Callithrix jacchus: one gene and its partner. The protein of the gene in region 1 binds, or shares a complex with, the protein of each later gene. Links are inferred from orthologs where the notes say so. Each region holds a gene or a part of one and is shown on either strand. Other genes may lie near its edges.

Region 1 (3,957 bases):
TGGAAGCAGTTAAAGAGGACGGTTTAGGAGGAGTTAGATTCCTGAGCACCATCAGATTTCCCTTAAGGTTCAGAGGGGCTTCACAATCACAAAGTAATTTTTAGAAGACATGAGACAAAATTAGCCGGGCTTGGTGGCACACATCTGTAGTCCCAGATACTCAGGAGGCTCAGCGGGGAGGATCACTTGAGCCCAGGAGTTCAAGGATGCAGTGAGCTAAGATCATGCCACTGCACTCCAGCCTGGGCCACAGAGTGAGACCCCATCTCTTAAACAAAACAAAAAAAACCATGAGATTAGAACTAAGTAATCAAGAGATCAGAGGAACTCACACTTTGGAATATGAAGCAGGTAATCAAAGCTCCTAGACTGACAGAAGTGAGAAAAGGAGGGAGAGGGGAGCAGAGGAGAGGCAGAAGACAGAAAGGAAACAAGAGGCACAGAGGAAGAAAGCTGTGACAAGAGGAAATAGTTTAGAACTCATCATGAATTGAAGAATGAAAAGCCACAGTCACAAGTCTGGGAGATGAACTACAAGAAGAGGAAGCCTGGGGTTTTATACCTTCCAGGAGGTGATGACAAATCCTAAAGCTGTACAGTAGCCGATAGAAGGTACATCTAACACTACGCCATCTGTTTTTGTAAAAGTAAGACACTGGCACCTGGGCTTGACTAATCCCATTCTATACTGCAAATTTACAAACATTTGTGACCAGATTACCACCACCCAGCAGGTCAAACATATACAGGCAATACAGAAAGGTTCCGAACCAAGTGGGTCTATGAAAAACAAACTTCAGTTAATGCTTCAGTTAAGTGAAGAGACAGAACAGATTTTGTTATTCTTCCACAGCATTCTAGTGGTTTCCTAAAGCTTACAAATTCTGACCAGTCTTAGTAAGCTACTATTGTCAAAGACTGTGCAATCAAACAGAGGCTGACCCTAAGCAAAGCCCCAATTTTTCCTGAGCCTTGGCTGCCTCTGTGATCTGAAACGCAGCAGGCAGCATGGAAGTTATTACTTACGTGGGGCAACGAGGAAGACTGTGGATCAAAAACCACCTAACCATACATATAAGTAACCAAAAGTGATCAAACTGTCATTTAGCTGTTCAGAATCCCTCTTGTCAAAAAGTCATAACCTTCAGATTGATAAAGCAAAACAGGGTTCTGCTACTCAGATGCTCTGAGTTTGGGAAGTGCTGGTTTTGATGGTATTTCTAGCCAGTTTTTATTCTGATCTTTTCAGGCACTTCTGCCTGAGACTGCTCTGCCCCACATGGAAAAGCCTCATAGAAACATGTAGCACATCGCATCTCAAGTGGTACCTTCCAAGGTGCCACAGTCTCCCACCCTATTCAGTTGTCTACTTCCTCCTCTTCATTCTGTTCTTCTTCTTCCAGCCTTTCTTCGTCTTCATCATTGTCCTCATCCCGGCTCTTGTCTTGATCTTCAGAGTCTGTTTTTTTGTCTTTGTCTTTCTTCTTTTGCTCTGAGGCCTCCTTCTTGCCTTTCTGCTCCCGCCTATATGCTGTAAGGAGGAAAGGGGTTAGGAGACAGAGAGCTGAGTGAGTCCGACAGACTGCAGCAACTAACTGCATCGTACAATTGGAAAAACAGAGGCAGATGGGCCCAGTGGCTCATGCCTGTAATCCCAGCACTTTGGGAGGCTAAGGTGGGTAGATCACCTGATGTCAGGAGTTCAAGACCAGCTTGGCCAACATGGTGAAACCCTGTCTCTACAAAATTACAAAAATTAGCCGGGCATGGTGGTGTGCACCTATAGTCCCAGCTACTCGGGAAGCTGAGGTAAGAGAATTGCTTGAACTCAGGAGGAGGAGACTGGAGTGAGCCACTGCACTCCAGCTTGGGCAATAGGGCAAGACTCTATGGTGCCCACTTAACTGGGTTGAGTCACGTCAAGTACTGGCTTACTGGACTTAAAGGGACCCACGCTCAGAAAGGCTCAGGGCCGGATGAACAGGTCACACAGAATGACCATCTTCTGTGTGGTTCAGAACACAGGAGGCTTGTTACCTTCTAGGGCTTCTTTTAATGGGGTAACGAACCGCTGGAACTCCATCTCTTCCATGGCTGACAGCACATCGGTGGCATTCAGCGTCTTGCGCTTTCCTTTCATTGCAAAGTTGTTCGCACTGGGAGAAGAGAAAGGCTGTCAGACTCCCTCTTGAGCGTAAGGGGTGGGTGGGAAAAGGAGCACCCAGAGGTGGGACGGGAAAGCCTTCTCACATGCATGGATTTTGGTGTGAGAGGATTAAGTTCTTCCCTTCTCCGTATAAAAAAGCTAAAGCAAAGTCATTTTGTTGTTTTTTTGCTTCAGAACTTGTAATAGGCAGAGGACTGTTAACCTCTCCCCACCTAAGGAGGACACAATCGTTGGGGTTTGTGGGCTCCCGGTCAGGAACTCCCAGCCAGGTATCCCCGCACCTCCCTTATGCCTCTGCCCGGCTCACCAGGATGTGGCGTACAGCACGAAGACGCTGGCGGCGCGAGAGATGGCGCTCCGGGCCTCCTTAGAGATGTTAACACCGTCCGGGAGCTGCGAGGAGACCGGGGGTAAGCAAAGCTGCCGGTCCAGGACCTGCTTCCCTCCTGCCCGCTCGTCCGCCCCGCCCCCCCTCCGAACTGCTCACCGCCTCCTTGATGATCCTGGTGATGACAGCGTTGGGCAGGTTTAGGTCTTCTGGCCTTTCCGCCATTGCCGCTGCCGGGGCTGAGCCTCCCCTCGCCTCTGCTTTAGGCAGCTACTGCGTCCGGACTTCCCGCGTCGCTACGGTCTGATCCACCCGAGCTTCCGTCCCGCCCCACGTGTCCCACAGTGTCCCAGAGTGCCCAGCGCGCCATAGCCTCCCTCCTTTCCCAGCCCCGCCTCCGCCTCAAATGCCGGCGCATCCAGACTTTGAAGCCTCAGTGGTTTTGGCCCGTCGAGGCTTCATCTAACACCAGCGCACCCCGAACGTCCATCCCCAGGTCAGTTTCTCTGCTCCTCGCCTTCGCCACGTCGAGAACCTTCGCACCAACTTAATATGGCCCAATGGAGCTTCCGTCCGTTTCCCATGGTGCTCTGCGCCGCGGCTTGGCGACGGCGCGGGCGGGGCGTAGCGCGCCGGAGACAAAGGCGTGGCTGACTCGGCTGGGCGGGTACCCTTAGACCCGGAGGCGGGCTCTGGGCGGCCCGCTAGGTTAACCTACTCTCCACGCCGCAAGGGGCCGCGTTTTCCCCCTTGGTTTCGCAATCCTAAGCGGTTTCGAATCTGCTTTGCTCTTGCAGGACCTCAGCCCCGCGTGGTCAGATTCTCCGAATATTTTTTTCTTTTCTGGAATGAAACGGGTAGTCTTTTTCCACCTCTACCGAAGTTGATGTTGGTTTCTAATCTTTTCGCCCTTCACACCTGCGTAACAATGGTACTAAGAATGAGTGTTATTTAGGTGTTTTTGGTTGTTGTTTTTAACGCGAACTATTGAGGCAGCCCAGGGATAATGCTTGCTATATAAAGATGCGCCTGATTAGGCCCGGGGTTTAATTCGGGCTGGGTAGGTAACAAAAGGGCGAGAAGCAGCTTTTTCGTTGTAAGAAGAATGCAACATCACTTTCGCTTTCAAAAACAATGTTAAAATTGTATTTATTTTTCAGTTAAATTGTTCATCATACATTTTTTCCAGTTAAAACCATTCTCATGGTTTGCAATGGCGTTTTGTTTTTAAGTCATATTCATATTAAGTACGTAGAAATTCTCAATTCCACTGATTTTTTTTTTGTTTTTTTTGACAGGATCTCACTCTGACCCTGGCTGGAGCGGCACGGTCTGGGCTCACTGCAGCCTAGACCTTCCGGGCGCAGGTGGTCCTCCCACCTCAGCCCCCAGGTAGCTGGGGCTACAAGTGCGTTCCATCACACACAGCTGATTTTTTTGTATTTTTCATAGACAGAGGGTT
Region 2 (4,105 bases), on another chromosome or scaffold:
TGTTGCTTAACAACAAGGATACATTCTGAGAAAGATGCATCACATCTTTAGGCGATCCCACCACTGTGTGAACACCATAGAATATACCTACACAAACCTAAACAGTATAGCCTATTACACACCTACACTACTGGGTGTACCTATTGCTCTCAGGCTACAAACTTGAACAGCATGTTACAATACTGAATACTGTAGGCAACTGTAACATGATGGTAAGTGTATTTATCTAAACATAGAAAAGATAACGTATTTAATTAGGATGTTGTGACTCACTGGGCAACAGGAATTTTTCAGCTTCATTATAACCTGATGGGGCCACCCTCATGTGCACAGTCCATAGCTGACCAAAAAGTTACTATGCAACACTTGACTATATACGTGTAGTGAAGAGTAAGCTGATCTAAGAATTAAGTAGCAGAAATAGCTCTGAGGCAAGGTAGCTCAAATGAGATATTTCAAATATTTGCTATTTTAATGACAAAACTGGCCAGGCACGGTAGCTCACGCCTGTAATCCCAGCACTTTGCGGCGGGGGGGGGGGGGAATGGGGAGGGGATCACAAGGTCAGGAGTTCAAGACCAGCCTGGCCAAGATGGTGAAACCCTGTCTCTACTAAAAATACAAAAATTAGCAGGGCATGGTGGCAGGTGCCTGTAATCCCAGCTACTTAGGAGGCTGAGGCAGAGAATTGCTTGAACCTGGAGGACGGAGGTTGTAGTGAGCCAAGATTGTGCCACTGCACTCCAGCCTGAGTGACAGAGCAAGACTCTGTCTCAAAAAAAAAAAAAAGACAAAATTTAGTTAGTACACAAGTTAATCCATGATTCCTAAAAAGAAATAAATACAGACAAGTACAAGTCTTACTGCAGCAAAATAATCACTTCACACAGATTGTTGAAGAAAAAGGAACAGGCAGTGACACTTCAAATGTTGACAATTGTTTCTGATCTCTAACACGATAAGAGGGGCAAGCTTGATAGCTAGGGATGGCGACCAAGGTAGGAATCAAATTTTTGAATTCATTTAACTTCACTGGGATCTTAATATTCCCTCCTATTTCTTTATGGTTAGCAATTTTCAGGTAGAAGTTTTAATTCCCCAAGGGAGAAAAACCGAACCTCATTAAGTTTAGCAACTTACTTTTTTCTATCCTAATAGCAAGTATGGAGAAAGAATTATCCCTACAAAAACAAGAACCAGGCATCCGTTTTATAAGGTTTTCAATTTCACATCAACATGCAAAAGACAGGTAGAAATGACTGCCCACTGAGAGAGAACTCACCTTCCAAAAAAGCAAATTCATCCACAGCTTCTATTGCATTATCTGAAACATAACGTAAAGGAACACCTGACTAATTCCAGCCATGCTGACGTCAGTCCCAAAACAGCACAATCTGCAGTGAAGGGCATAAGTCTTTGGGCAAATGAGCACATTTATAAGATACGTCCCTTGATGCCTTGATATCCATATCTACACTACCAGCAACTCTTATATATATTAGCTGTCTCTCTAGAAGATTAAGAAAAGCATAGGCAAATCCATTCAATGCAGGGGGCTGGGAGGTTCCTAAATTAACCCTATATTATTTATTCACTTTGCTCTGAAAGTCATCAGAGAAGAATGTGGCAATACACGCAGGGAGCCTGAGAATACGGTCTATAAAATCTTACACAGGTCAGAGTTACCAGCCAGACAAGAGTCAGAAATCAAATCCCCAGTTGCAAGTGAAAAATAAATATCTTTTTCAGGTACAATTTGGCGGAAAGTATGAAGGGATCCAGTCAGCTTTGGCAACCCCAGACGCCTTCACACTCTGTCCCACCACCCCAAGCAGACAGACTCTATAGGCAGGGTTTCCTGGCATTGTGGCCAACAGAAACCATCATGGGGAGAGACGCTGAGACGCCTCTCAGATCAGAGTGATGTCTTCTCAATCTGTGCAAGGGGAAACCAGCCCAGCTCTCCCTTGTCTGTCCCCAGACACACAGTGTCACTCTACCCAAGTCTCTCCTCTGAAGGGTTTTCCTTTTTCCCTGCTGAGCGCAGCAGTAGGCATCTTTTGCAATGGTCTCCACAAATAGCTCCTGTATAGCAAAAAAGCAGAGTTTTAGTAATGGGTTCTAGCACACTGAGGAGGTGAGGGCTCCAGTTTGTGAGTTGGGGCAGAAAGGGAGAAGAATGGCTCAGGGGCAAGAAAATGTTCTGGAAGTTAAGATTGTCCAGGACTTAAAGGTGGATTCCACTACCCTCTTCCCAGTATTCTCCCTCATTCACTATAGACTCCTACAAGTTCTGTATGAGACCCTGGAGATACAAATTAAAGTCACTCACTATCCGGGTCCTCAACATGAGGGAGGAGTGTTAACAAAACATACAACTCGCTTAGGTTCCCGACTTCTTCCCTCCGCCTTCCGGGTCCACGCCCACATCTCAAAACCTTGCCCACGCCGCCCTAAGCCCCGCCCCCGGAATACCCTGAGGCCCCGCCCGCGCTCCCCTCCCCCACCCCGCGTGCCCTCCCGCTGCAGCCGCACCGCTGCTCGTGCCAGGATGAAGATGGCTTCCTGTCCCGCTAGCGTCACGTCAGGGTCCGCCTTCACCAAGGCCTTTACTCGCGCCAGAGGCAGCCTCGAGAGACGTGCCCCAGGCGCCGTCGTTGGGGCTGGGGGCTGCGAGGCCGCTGCCTCCCCAGCGGGTCCGTCCTCCTCTCGGGGAGTCCCGCTTCCTGAAGCCGCCGCCGCCGCCGCCGCCGCCGCCGCCATCCCGGCCCTGAGCGTACTGCGCGCGGCCGCCGACTGCGCGCGCGCATGCGGCGCAGGCCCTTTCCCGCGCGGGCTGGAGGCCACACCCTGTGTTGGCGCGCGGCTCCTCCCCTATGCGCAGGGCCCTCCCGGGAATCCCGGTGGGCGGGGACCGGGCTCTAGCTCTTCCCGCGCGCCTGGCCACCCCTGGGCTGCTGTGGACTTTGTTGACGCTACCGGCCACCCTCTCGTCCCATTGGGCCTGAGGAGCCCAGGCACTGGCCTTGGTGCCTGTGCGGGGCTGGTAAGGGGAGAAGTCTAGACCGGGCTCTCCAGAGAGCCTCCGTCAACTCAAGAGTGTTCATCCTCGTGGGCACGTGTCCGAGGGGGGCCCGGACATTCCCTGGAGGGCCCAGCATTGGGGAAGAGGGTACCAAGAAGGCAGCAAAATCTGGACCAAATTAAAGGATAACCAGTTATAGATGCTCTTGAAGGAGGTGTAACACGTTTGTCAGGCAGAAATGAAGAAATTCAGCCCAGGCAGAGGAAACAAGAAAAAGATGTGGAGGCTGGAAGAGATGTAGTTGTGATGAGGCATCCACGTTTGTTCAAAAAGTGGTTGCATCACAGCTTTGGGTCTCAAATTTGACCTCAAGATCCCTTTACGGTCTTAAAGATTAAAGAGCCTAAGGAGCTTTTTTCTGTGGGTTATATCAATACTTACTATATTGGAATTAAAACAAAGTTTTAAAATACTGATTTAAAAATCACTAATTTATTACAAGCTAACATAGCACTTTTATGACAAGTGACTAAAAAATAAATCTGGTAAGAAAAGTCTAATGTCAGATTTCATGTGAGAACTGGACTCTCTAGCTACTTCTGTGGTTAACGTTAGCTCTTCTCAGGTAACTCTGAAAAACTGTACTGCATCTCCTTAAGAGAATGAGAATGAAAAAAGACAACCTCTTGGTAGTATTAAGAAAATAATTTTGACTTCATGGATTCCTAAAAAGGGTCTGTAGAAATTTCCCACCCTCATGAATCCCCACACTGCACTTTGAGGTCTGATAGCATAGAGGAACAGTTAATATTTACAATAGGTTTAATCTAAGTCAATCAATCATAATAATAGTGAACACTTTTGAGCATTTACTATGTGCATGATTCAAAGTGTTTTATGTTTATGTAAATCACACTTCTGTAATTTTCATAATACCCTATTGAGGTATATATCGTAACCTTACTTTACAAAATAACCTTAACCTTGTTTTTCAAACATTTGAAACAAGGCACAGAGTGGTTACTGAGTCACACACTCGACAATGTGAAGCCAAGATGAAGCTGAATTAAATGACATCTG

Evidence for each region. The genes of interacting proteins can lie anywhere in the genome.
Region 2: POLE3 (region 1) and POLE4 share a complex: the UniProt entries of both Homo sapiens proteins name them as parts of the DNA polymerase epsilon complex. The link is inferred for Callithrix jacchus from reciprocal best matches to the Homo sapiens genes POLE3 and POLE4.

The regions. Positions count from the first base shown.
Region 1 is NC_133502.1:161,723,111-161,727,067, forward strand, and holds the start of POLE3 (DNA polymerase epsilon subunit 3), read right to left. Parts: upstream 2,801-3,957; 5' UTR 2,721-2,800; coding exon 2,655-2,720; intron 2,561-2,654; coding exon 2,475-2,560; intron 2,157-2,474; coding exon 2,038-2,156; intron 1,532-2,037; coding exon 1,359-1,531; 3' UTR 1-1,358. UniProt on the Homo sapiens protein: Accessory component of the DNA polymerase epsilon complex. Participates in DNA repair and in chromosomal DNA replication.
Region 2 is NC_133515.1:38,228,758-38,232,862, forward strand, and holds the start of POLE4 (DNA polymerase epsilon subunit 4), read right to left. Parts: upstream 2,801-4,105; 5' UTR 2,764-2,800; coding exon 2,536-2,763; exon of another isoform or gene 2,333-2,535; intron 2,086-2,332; coding exon 2,001-2,085; coding exon of another isoform or gene 1,988-2,000; intron 1,395-1,987; coding exon of another isoform or gene 1,325-1,394; coding exon 1,283-1,324; intron 1-1,282. UniProt on the Homo sapiens protein: Accessory component of the DNA polymerase epsilon complex. Participates in DNA repair and in chromosomal DNA replication.